3 separate regions of the Mus musculus genome follow, and all the other regions are reported to be linked to region 3. The links are microRNA targets in miRTarBase. Many come from high-throughput screens and were not tested one by one. Region 3 holds a microRNA gene; each other region holds the end of a gene's coding sequence.
What was found. The annotated mature microRNA mmu-miR-3080-3p reads UCCUCGGGCAAAGCGCUUGACA and lies in region 3 at 2,919-2,940, shown strand. An mRNA with a match to its seed (bases 2 to 7 or 8) in the 3' UTR can be bound and repressed. Matches are read on the target gene's strand: a 7mer-m8 pairs with bases 2 to 8, a 7mer-A1 pairs with bases 2 to 7 and ends in A, and an 8mer does both.

Region 1: the mRNA of Spock2 is a reported target of mmu-miR-3080-3p. Seed matches in the 3' UTR shown: 7mer-m8 at 1,532-1,538.
Region 2: the mRNA of Tbl1xr1 is a reported target of mmu-miR-3080-3p. Seed matches in the 3' UTR shown: 7mer-m8 at 2,321-2,327.

Annotation. Positions count from the first base shown.
Region 1 is chr10:60,130,710-60,134,709 of GRCm38, reverse strand. Spock2 (sparc/osteonectin, cwcv and kazal-like domains proteoglycan 2) reads right to left here. Exons shown (of 11, transcript NM_052994.2): 10 at 3,489-3,626; 11 at 796-3,374. The coding sequence ends at 3,229. Among named protein-coding and RNA genes, the nearest start is that of Mir6906, 5.9 kb to the right of the region's middle.
Region 2 is chr3:22,209,730-22,213,729 of GRCm38, forward strand. It overlaps Tbl1xr1 (transducin (beta)-like 1X-linked receptor 1), which reads left to right. Exons shown (of 16, transcript NM_030732.3): 16 at 672-4,000. The coding sequence ends at 698. Among named protein-coding and RNA genes, the nearest start is that of Tbl1xr1, 140 kb to the left of the region's middle.
Region 3 is chr15:82,958,018-82,962,167 of GRCm38, reverse strand. It overlaps Mir3080 (microRNA 3080), which reads left to right and starts at 2,872; the gene lies at 2,872-2,950. It also overlaps a transcript of Tcf20 not described here.

The DNA.
Region 1 (4,000 bases), not on the chromosome of region 3:
AGGGCTCGTGATGGCCCAGGTGTCAAAGATGGGCCCCTGGTTCTCTCCTAGGGCTGTGGGCTTGGGCTTTGGGGAGCCGATATCAAAAGACCCCACCTACGCACTTAGTGGTGAAGCAGAAAGCAGATAAAAGCCAAATGGGTACCAACAGAAACCAAGGGAGGGGGCTGGAGCAAGGCAGACCTGTGCCCACCCATCACACGTGGTCACGACTCCTGTGGAACACTGGGGGTAAGATGTCCCAGGACTCTCACCAACTTTGCCTCCTGCCAGAACTCCCAGGCTAAGCCCCGCCCCCGTTCCTCCTGGGACCTCTGAGTGGTCTCTCAAGGCACATTTACTCTCTCCAACCTCAAACTTCCCCAACGTACACCATCCTTCCCAGCACCCAGGGCTAAGGAGGCTCTTAGTAGGGCAGCTCCAGGGCTCGGCAAGATGTGGTGCTGCCGTAATTTGGTTGAACTCTTTCCAACACAGCCCTACCTCTCCTGCCCGCAACAAGGGAACGGGAGCAGGCAGGAACACGGATGGAGGAACTGGGCAGGCAGCTTATTCAAGGATGAGGCCCGCAGGACCGACAATAATCTGACCTGTGTGACCTTGCTCCTGAGGAAACACGAAGCTTGCTTAACTAGAAGCTACTTGGGAACCTTCAGCCCCACCAGGAACAGCTGTTCTGCCTACCTTTGTGGGACTCGGTCTCAGTGGGGTGAAAAGCAGTATGGGGTGGGGAGCGTTTTAGAGAGGGACAAACTTCTGGACCCCTGGGGCCTGCCACAGTTCCACGCCTTCTGCTTTCTTACTAAAACATGTTTACTACATCAGATACAAAACCAGAAGATCCAGGGACACACAGAGCATAGCTCCCCAGCGGGGCAGGGCGGGGCAGGGTGAAAGAAGGGGATGCGTCTTCCTCTACACCACCCCCTCCCCACCCCAGAGAGCCTAAAATCCTTCACAGCTACCCGGGGATGTTCTGGAAATCCAGCTGGGGCAGAGAAAGAATCAGACTCCATCCTAGCGAGAGCAGGAAGTTTCAAGTAACTCCAGCTGGAGGGAGGAGGAAGGGGAGGAGGGGGAGGAGAGAGGGGGGCGGGATGGCTGCTTCTAGAATGCAGAGGGCTGATGTGACTGAGCCAGGGACCAGAGGATGGTTGCAGAGGTCTGAGGAAGGGAGGGAGGAAGAAGAGGATGGGAGCAGGTGACAGTCACCCGGAGAGTCAGAACTGTGTCGTGGAATGAGAAGCACTTTATGGAGCTTGGTGACATTTCCGTATTCCCCCCGAGGAGATGACGATTAAGGTGGCCATTCCAGGGTGGCAGAAAGGAATGGGAAGGAGGAGGCTCTTCCCTAAAGTCCAACCGATCAATACTCAGTGGATGTGACCAGCCAGTGCCCCTGAGAGGCTGGGGGAGAGCCAGACTGGGGCTTTGTCCTGGAAGCCTCAGCACAAGGTCCCCAGTAGCTAGCTGCCCAGCCTCTTCCACCACACAGGGGGCTGCCCTCACTCTTCCTGGGCATCAGGGTGGCCCTCGGGTATTCTCTCTCTCATTCTCTCTCATTCTCTCTCTCTTTCTCTCTCTCTCTCTCTCTCTCTCTCTCTCTCTCTCTCACACACACACACACACACACACACACACACACACACACACACGTATACGCGCCACACACACGTACGCGTACCAAAGGGTATCAGAGGCCCAGGTAAGGAATTCTTCATCAAATATATCAAGGAAATTTCCTTTGAGAGGGGGAAGTGGGGAGCAATAGACACACAAAACCCCACAGGACATCTGGGTAAAAGCCCCTTCCACCCGGCCTGGAGGTCTGAGGGCGTGCTGAGGCATGGCATCAGGGCCTAGCTGCTCAGTGTGGTCCCCTCTGATAGATACACCGTTCTCTATTCATATATGCTATAGGGCTTTAAATAGAGTCTGGGGCATGGTTCTTCTAGGGCCATCTTGGGGACCCTTGAGACAGAGGAAAGTCATGGCTGAGAGGACTAAGGCTTTGGGGCCTCTCCTCCAGGACCTTCTGGGCACAGGAAGTCACAGCTCCCCGTGGTTCCTCACAAGGGTCTCGGGGACACGCCCTTCTATTGGTCGGGGCAAGAGGGAACCATTTCCTAGAGGGTCAGGGAGAAGGTGAGCAGACACGGGCTGCTTGCTGGTCCTCTGCTCCTTGGGACAAGGGGGACCCTCGCCAGGGAACAGAGAGTGCAACTGCAAGCCCTCATAGCAGGCTACTCCAAATCTCAGCTATATGATGACAGTCCCCATTCGCCAAGAAAGCAGCCCAGAGCCCCATGAGGCCACAGGTGCTGACTGGGTTAATCTGAGGCCTGAAATCAAGGGACCCATTGTCCTCTGTCTCATGATTTCTGCCTCTTCTGCTGAGCTATCTCTGGTTACTCGGGACTAGGTTGAGAGATAATCTATCAGGGATGTCCATGCTTTTGACATTGTGACAGAGGATTAACTCCTCAATCCAATTATCAACAAACAAACTAACAAAAAACAAACAGCAACAAAACCCCTGTGTTTTAAGTAAGTTTACCTCTTTGTGTTGGGCCACAGAGACAGCTATGCTTAACCACGTGCAGCCCAAGGGCCATTAGACACACCTGCGACGAGCTCTTCGGATGTCAGGAGACGGATAGTAAGCCTTGCTGTGTGTACAGGTCCTGCCTCATCACCACAAGACCGTGGTGGGGCTTTCATATCAAATCAGCCCAATTTGGGGAGGACGCTCAGCTTTCAGCTGCCTGCCCTCCCTCCCTCTCCCTGGCCTCAGAAGAGGAAGGAAGAAAGGCAGGATGGGGTAGGGCTGATTAGGCAGGGCAGGGATTCCAGGTGTTGGGCTGAGGGGCAGGATCAGGGACATCTCATTGATTTTGGTCTGTTAGTGTATCCTTGTGTGTGAAAGTGTGCATTTGAAAATCAATAACATAGGGACCTTTGGGTGACTCACATCACACACACACACACACACACACACATCTCACATACACACATCTCACATCACACACTCACATCTCACATCATACACACACATCTCATATCACACATACACACAAGCCACACTCCCCAGTCCTCCCCCACTGGAGCCAGGGTCCTCCGCACTGACTTCCGGATCCATTTGCTAAGTTGCCTGCTGTTGTCCAGGTCTCTTCTGGCCTGTCTTTCTGGCCGTCGGCACCCTGGCCTGCCGAGGCCGTCGAGGGCTATCTACCAGATGTAGCCTCCATCATCTGCCTCACCCGCCTCACCCTCCTCCTCCTCGGCCTCCTCCCCTGCCTCTTCTGTCTCCTTTTCTTCCTCATCCTCCCAGCCAACGCCGCTTCCAAAGTCCCCGGAGAAACCCACGATGTCATCTGTTGGGAAAGCACACGAAAGGCCGGTAAGGAACCCACACACTGTGTCTACTTTCTGAGCCTGGAGTCCTGCCCCACGTACGCCACCCTGAGAACTAGCCGCATGCTCCTTACCACAGTCAGGGGTCCCATGCATGCGTGTGCCGGTCAGCTCCAGGCCCAGCTGGTCCACACACCAGCAGTCACCTCTGCTCTGGTCACACTGCATCTTCCGGTAGTAGCCATCTTCATCACAGCTCGGGATGAAGACACCTGAGGGTTAGGGCAAAGAGCCCGTAGTGTGGGCTCTGGAGTCGTGTGCGAGCAGGGGCCTCGATGGCCTGAGAACCTGGCCAGCTTGGTACTGATACCCACCCCCTAAGAAACCAGACACTCAGGGCTACTGACTGGAAGCACAAAGCTTCCTTCCCCAATGTCCCTGTGTCACATGCTCAGGCTTCTTCAAGGATGCTATCAAGTGCTGGTGTCATGGCCTTCATCTTGTAGGACAGTCTGGCCCCACATGTTAGAAAGCTCGATCCTATTCTTGGTTTTGTCTCCAGCTAGGAATGTGGAGTTTCTCTTCCTTCTTCGGGGCTCACTCATTTCTCTCAGGTCCCCAAACTGTCCACAAGGCATCTTCTGAG
Region 2 (4,000 bases), not on the chromosome of region 3:
AGGCTGTGTGCTAAATATGCTCATTACATTTGTATAAGTAAATCTTAGGGGTGACTTTGCCAAAGAAGACTCAAACAAGTAATGAGTGATTTTCAATGTAACCTTCCATTTGTGGAATTAAATGTAATGAAGTATCTCTTGCTAAATGGTATTTTTAAAGCCCTTTCCCCAACTCTCCCCTCTGAAGTGGAGTGTTGGAGGATGAAGAATGGAGGCTGATTTCTGTGGGGAGATATTTAATACTGACCTTCAGGATGTTGTTAGTAGATACTTGGGGGGCCGGGGGAGGTAGTATAGCCTCTCCCGTTGTAAATCAGGGAAAGCAGGAGAGAGGAAAGCAGAGCTGTTTGTTGAGATGACCCCGTAACACCTGTGTTGTGTTCAGACCTGAGTCTGCTCTGTATGTTCCCCATCCCCCTTTTACTGACTTTAAAGACCTAAACCTAAAACTTTGAGCAGCATTTCCTCAGTTACTGTAGCTTGGTAGTGATCACATCACAGCATATTGGCCCGATGTCCTTCATCAGTTAAGGTTTCTTTCCATAATTTGTTACTTTGATTTTATGAATTTGCATCTTAGATTGTAAATTACATTGTATTCTTTATAGAAGTTAAGCTTGCAATGTAAGGTAGATTTCTTGATACTGGCTGACTGTTGTCATCTCTTACAGGTTTGTGTCTTAGACCTTCGGAAATAGCGTTACTAGTTGGAAGCCATGGACCGACTATGAATGTGTACATAGCCACAAGACTATCCCTGACCCATATACTGCTATAGTCCCACTTGAACCATGGCCAGTCCACTACAGCCAAATCTAAGAGAAATATATACATGCAGTATATATGAACACAGCTGTACCCTGAAGATGACAGTCTCATCCCAGCTTGTGAATTCTGCTCACCAAGTGCTGGGATCTAACCTGCTGTGCCCCTAAGTAGCGTTTAGAAGTTTGGATATGAAAACCAGAAGAGAAGGAATATGCGTTATAAGAGCAAACCACACATGTCCCAGTTTTGAATATTAATGACAGCCTTGTTTCCCCCTTTGAATCAGCAGACACATGGATTATATTCTTTTTCCCCTCAGTAGTGCGCAGTTTGTATGTACAGAGAACATGGACTTAACAAAAGCTTGCGGCAGTAGTTGGTTCTTGCTTCCAAGTTTGTTTTGGTTTAGATTATGGATGCATGAAGTAAGGGAGTGAATCATTATCTTGCTTTTTTTTCTCACCTTTTAAACAACAAAAAAATTCTTAAAAATATTTTACTGCATTCTTTGGAAGAGGTAGATGTTTGGTACATCTGATGGCTCCCAGAGCATATAACTCAATAGGTGCATATTATGGAGGGAATTGGAATAATAGGAAACTACATGACTTCCGTCATGTCACTCTCTAAGACACATCAGCAAAGGGTGTTATGTTATCTTTGTTTTGGGTTTCTGGGTTTTTTGTTTTAGTTCTTTGTGTGTGTGTGTGTGTGTGTGAGAGAGAGAGAGAGGGGTGGGGAGGAGAGAGAGCGCTTAAAATAGTTTCTTTTTGGGGACATATTTCTGCCAATTAAAGACTAGAAGGGCACAACTTTTTTTTTTTTTTAATACCATAAAGAAGAGTTTGGTTTTTTTTTTTCTAAATAATAATCTTCTGATGTTTTGTAGCCATAACTAAATTATGGTTAAAAATGTGCACTATTGTGAGAAGGAGCAACATAGTTTGGGGCTTTTATTTTATTATTTTTATTTTTTATTTTACCATTTGTCTGTTTTACTTTGTTTCTTAAGAGATTAAAATATTTCTGGATAAGGATTAGCTTCTCAAAGTGTCCATCATTCTGTATAGAAGCTTAAATATGTAATGTAACCAGATTCCAGTATTAAAAAATCTCTCATGTTAGTTTTCTTTTTACAAAGCAAGGTTACAGCAGCATATAACACTGCCATTACATGGCTAAATGTTTGCTACCTTAGTTTTGAAAACAGTTTTTAAAGGCTTGCTTTGAGCTATGTTTGGGTAGCAGTGATGGGGAAATTAGGAGAGGTGTGGCTGGAGCTATCCCTCTGCCTGCATATACGGCGCCAAAGCTGCACTTAAGCATTGTAGATCTAAGCTGCTGTTTTGTTTCCACTATAATCACTACTATATCATGTTTTTTACTCTTGTTTATATCAAGTATTTTTTTTTTAAAGATATAGGTATCCAATCAGATTCTTTTTTTTTGGTTTTTTTTTGAGACAGGGTTTCTCTGTATAGTTCTGGCTATCCTGGAACTCACTTTGTAGACCAGGCTGTCCTCGAACTCAGAAATCCGCCTGCCTCTGCCTCCCGAGGGCTGGGATTAAAGGTGTGCGCCACCACGGCCGGCTTCAATCAGACTCTTTATGTTCAGCTAAAAGTAAAATATACCTACAAAGGTTCACCAGAGGCTGTGTTTGTGAAGGTGGTTGACAGGATAGTCGATATTAATGGAAGAACCCAGGAGTGTAGGTTCTGAAGAGAAAGAACAGTTGTCAAATTTATATCTTTAAATTTTTAATTAAGAAATTGCTTAGCAAATTTATAACACTATGTGTGTCAGTAGTTATTTTGAGGCCTTTGGCTCCTGAATCCCACCCTGTGTTCTACGAAACTGCTCTAACCCAGCCCCGCAGCTTTGCTGCTCTGTTTTTGCTGCCTTGTTCTTTACAAAGCAGCGTTGATTGACGCCAGTCTTGGCTTCATTAAGGTAGGGTGGCATTTGCTTTTGGTAAAGAGGATGGATACACTTACATTTTACCATACATCGTTATATCTACCCCATTTTGTTAGTGGGGTCTATGATACTGTAATATTAAGAGTTGCATCCAGAGAGGCAGTCGTCTATGGTTTGTGCCAGGTGTTTTCAGGGTTCTATCACATTGAGACATTTAGAACCCATTGCTCTGTGGCTCTGTAGGAATTCTAAAATGCTGAGTGTCTGCCACTTGAGATTTTGCTTTTACTGCAAGAGGGTCACATCTGTTGGCCTCTGTTGTTGTTTAAAAAAATAATAATAAAAATAAAAAAACTGTGCAATAATTTTTAAACGTGCTCCCAAGAATAGACACAAACTTTTTGAGTATGCCTAAGCTGCATTTCCTTCAGCGATGCATTTGTCAATTGCACTGAATCTGAACCTGAAAGTCAGAGGTGATTGTTGATAGTGCTTTTGTATTTTGATATGGACATTTTATTCATTTGCATACAGTCATTGACGTTCTTCCCAGCTGATTCAAAGACAGTCACAAATTCCTGAAACACAGCTGCCAAAATGACAGCTGAATTTTCTGATAATGTCTTGCTTTCTGTTGGGTGTGTGTTTATTGGTTTGTTTTGTTTTGTTTTATTTTTTTTTTTCCTATTTCTTTGGCTATTTTACTTCAGCACACTAGCTGTGATAGATTGTCTGATAGAAGAGAAGTGCAGAGCTTTGCTGTCCCAAAGCCTCGGGTCTTTCCCTCGCAGATGTGGCTGAAGACATCTACCTTTAGGCTGGTTCTCTGTGAGCGTAGGACTGTGTGCTTTGCTGCTGCTCTCACTGTCCCTGTAGCCTGCTGACGTGCCATGATGCTGCTCCACAGACACCACACCATGTCTTCATCCAAGCAGTCAGATGATCACCAGAGACCACACTTGAGTGTGTCAAGTGCTGTCATGGGGCTCTCTACTTTCCTTCTTGTCTTTTTCTGAGAATTGGCTCTGAAAATCCAGAGTCCAGTAGTCTTTCTATGGTGTTCATTTAGATCATTGTTGTATATGTTACTGTAAGGCAGAGAATAGGAGGCTTAAATGAATATCATTGATTAAAGTAGACTGGAGGGAGCAGCTGCCACCCTTGAAAGGCATGAAGGAACCTGTGTACTCCAGGCAGGAGACCCTTGGGGACTTAGATTTATCCCTATTTTCCATGATCAGGTAACATCATTGAGTTTTCAAATGATTTAGGCGTGGTTACTGGAGTAGGTCTTAGAGTGTAACAGATTGTT
Region 3 (4,150 bases):
CCGAGAGTCCCCTGAGGCCGGGCTTCTCAGCTTCTTCTGCACACAACCAGCATAACGCCCTGTGAGCCATTTATCCTCTGCTCTGGGGTCTTCCCTGCCTAAGATAGCCTGCTCCCTTGAATACCACCCCTTAAGCCTCAGCACCCAACTGTGTCTTGCCCCGCCCCACCCCCACCCCATCCCTCATCTATTAGGCAGGTAGACTGTGTGCACCCTCTCAAAGGTACCCCCAGCTCTTGGAAACTCCTTCCTTTTAGGGCATTTAGAGTGGTAGGAGGCTTCCAGGTCTGTGTCCCCCCCCCCAAACCCCCAAGGAGCCTGGGAGCTCCAGGAGACTAGGTTGATGGGTCTCCAGGGTCTAGTCAGAGCTAGACTCCTGTGCCTGCTTCATGGTCTTTGAGGAACGCACTTGAGCAAGAGCAGAGAGGATCCCACACTTGTAGATGATCATTGACTTGCAGAAAGCCTGTCTCTTTTAGGGGGCAGGGCTCCTGCTGAGGAGGGTGCCCAATTGAGGACCCAGAATCGATTTGGCAGCCAGTCACCCCCAGCCCTCCAGGTCAGGTGCCCTCCTGGTTCTCTGCCACCTGTATTTGCTGGGGGTAGTAATGGTGGATACTTAGACTGAAGACAGGTTCCAGGGACCACCGGCTCCCTCTGCCTATCAAAGCCCACCCCCCATGTCCTCCTCAGGAGCAGGGAGAGTTATGTCAGGCCCTCTGGCTGGGCGCCAGGGCTCCCCATGGAACTATAAATTGACCTGTCGGGAGAGGGAAGAGATTAATGTCGGCCATCTTCATTAGCGCGTCCCCCGGGGTGACGGCGTCTGCCCTGAGCTGGCTGATTGGAGAGGGTGAGAGGTGGTGGCTAGGCCCCCCTACCCCCCACCCCCGCCACCAAAAGGCAAGGGGCAGAGGCCAGGGCCTGCCGGAGAGCCTTGGCCTCCTCCCACTGCTGGAGGGGCCGTCCCCGTGGCCTCTGCCTCTGGCAGCAGGCACACGCTTTGATGGAGGACCTGAGTGCTAATTGGGGGCAGAGATGCGCGGCCCGCAGCTCTGCGGGGCTCCCAGGCTGACACCGCCAGCTCAGCGGCATCGAAGGGCCTTCATTAGAGGCTTTTCCCCTGACCAGAAAGGAGCCCGCTGCGGGCTGTGGGGGGCTCCCCTCCTTTCCTCTCCCCTCCACTTTCCTCTCCCCTCCCCCCTTTCCTTCTTTATTGCGTTGATGATGGGGAAGGAGGCGGCTTTGGCGTGTGGCAGAGATGATGAGGGATTGGAGGAGCTATCTGAGTTTGAGACCTTGTATGTCCTGGAGACTCTGACCTTGGTCTGGGCTTTATGCTCTTCACTGGAGGGTCCTTGTCTGGTTGTCCCCCTGGGGTGTGGTGGGGGATGGGCATCAATGAGAGAGCCCCGTGTGGAGGCGTGCCTTACAAAAACAACGTGGATAGAATCGAGCGGGAGGGCCAGGCTGTGTGTGGGTTTGAGTCCTGTGAGGTCCAGGGCCAGGTAAGCCTCAGTTTCCTGGTTTGACAATTGCTGAGGACCAGTGTTAGTAAGAGGTCTTTTCGTGGTCAGGAGCTGAATCTGATCCCTGAACAGTCGCCCCTGGGGGCCTGGCGGCAGCAGCAGGTGGAAACATTGGATTGTCTATTATATTCTCTCTCCCTCCCTCCTTCCCTCCCTCTCCCTCCCTTCTCCTCCCTTGCTTCCCCCCCTCTCTGCTCAATGTCTCTCTATCTCTCTCTCATGTGTGTGAGTGTGCATTAGTCTCTCTTTGTCTCTCTGTGTATCTCTGTCTCTGTTGTCTCTGTCTCTGTCTGTGTTTCTGTCTGTCTCTGTCTCTCTCTGTCTCTCTGTCTCTGTCTCTCTCTCATATGTGAGCCTGTCTCTCTCTGTGTCATCCCCCCCCCCAAATCTCTCTCGCACTTTCTCACTTGTTCAGAAGAATCTACTGTCCCAGGGACTTATCCGCATAATGGTAGCCTTACCCTTTGACACTCCTCTAGAGAAACAGACCCAGGAACAAATAATCAGGCCTCAAGAACAGCTGGTACCCTGCAGAGAGTCTCCCCAGGCAGAAGGCTGCCTGGAAGGTTCTAAAGGCACTATTGAAGGAGAAATGGCATTGCTTTCTCACATAGACCTTATTTAGACCAGATTTGATACAGGGAGACTACCTAGTCACTGAGTTCCTGGCCCACCTGGCTCCTAGACCTGACTGCCCATCCAAGGGATGGATAGTCCTCTGAGTTCACAGTTCCTTGAGTTTCTTGGAGAACCCACCCCTTGCCCAGTGTCTCTTAGCCCTAAACTGGGGTCACCGGCCTTAGGTCTGTACCTCCTTGGTTTGTAAGGGTGTAGGTGAACACCAGAGGGACTCCTTCTTGTAGGATGGGCGGGCTCCCACCAGTGAGGGGCCCATAGAGACACAGTCTCACAGAGCCCGGGCTACCTTGGTACTACATAGTAGAAGGTGGACTCGAACCCCTTTCTGATCCTCCTGCCTCCATGGGATTACAAGTGTGCACCTCTGTGTTCAGCTTCCAAGGGTCACTTTCCAAGGCATGTAGCTTCGTTCCTCCAAGCCTCTGTGTCCCTGTTTCCTGGTCCTGGAGTAGGGGAGTCGCATGCTAACTCGTGCGGGGGGGGGGTGCAGAACGCAGCAGAGAAGGCACTGGTTTTTGTGGTCATCGATGACTCCAGGCTGCTTCCCCAATGGCTCTTGTGTGCCTCCTGGCAACCTGTGCTATTTACAGCACTCTGGAGAAGTGGGGAGTGGCTTGTCTGAACCTTTCCATCTTTCTAGCTGCCAGCTGGGGGAATACTTAGCACCCTCTGCACCCTGTGGAATGTTTGAACAAAAGTCCACGGTTTGAGATCTGAAGCGCCTGTTCTTGGATCGTGGCCCTGTAGTCATCCTCGGGCAAAGCGCTTGACATCTCTGTGCCTCCTTTCTCGTCTGGAGACCCGAGATGTCACAGACTGAAAACTATAGTGTAGATCACATTGGCTGTTAAATGCCCATCTTGTGGGAAGAGAACCCTGAGTTCTCTTTGCAACCCCAGCGGCTTTGCTTTGTGACGTCCCTCCTGACTCTTTGGGGGCATCTTTCATGGGACTGTGTTGTCTACCTGTCCCTACAGAGCTTTCTGAGACTACAAATACATGGGAGTGGTGGGAAGGACTTAGAGGGCTGGGCAATTTCTGGAACCTTCCAGGCTCCCTATGGGGACTTCCAGGGTTCCCAGCTTCCTATCTGGAAAATGGGACCAGACAGCCAGTTCTCACCAGCCCTTAGCTGTCTAGTTGCGTTTAACCTGATCCTATCTTCAGTGAGTCTGCTGAATGGCCCCCAGCCCAATTACATGCACGTTGGAGGACACTGTCATTTCAATTGTAATATGTTAAGATCGCCCTTTGAGAGTCACGTGTTGAAAGACGATGGTGCAGAGGTGCCTATTGTTGCTGCCTCTGCGTGCCCAGCCAGTCCCGCCTGGCAGCTTCCTTGCAGGAGCTGGCAACATGGCTGTCTGCCTCCGCCTCTCCGAGCAGGCAGGAATCACTAACGCGTTAGCAGTTTCATTAAGCCTCTCGCCAGCCTCCCCGCCTCCCTCCCAGCCTCCTCGGTAATTATTTCCCCAACCCTTCCACTCGCAGCTCTCTGGGATTGGCTGAGTAGCCCCCACCGCAGCTGGGTTGCTGGGGCCGTGCTGTGCCCCGGAGCCCCCTGGGCAACTCCCTTCTGACTCCCCTCGTTGCCATGTCAGCTTTGTGTCCCCCTGAGGCCTCCGTGAGAATGCAGATCTGCTGCCTGGCAGGGGTGCCAGTTAACCCGTTACTACCCTCCACATGTGCAGGCCTCCTCTGCACAGCAGACCTCCTCTGACCAGGCATCTCCTGGGACTGTAGCAGAGTGGGCACCGAGGACCCGGCTGTGAGGGAGGAGATGGACTTAGCAGATCATGCAGCCCAGGGCATGTGTGGGTATGGAGCATCCTGAAGACCTCCTCCCCAATCCATAAGATGAACATGAGACCCACCCCTCTGGCCTCAGTGACGGAATGGGAAATGGGCATATGTCCCTTCTTTGCTAGTCTAACCACAGGCCTTCTTGTGTTTTCACCCGGATCTGCTTGCATAGGGACCCC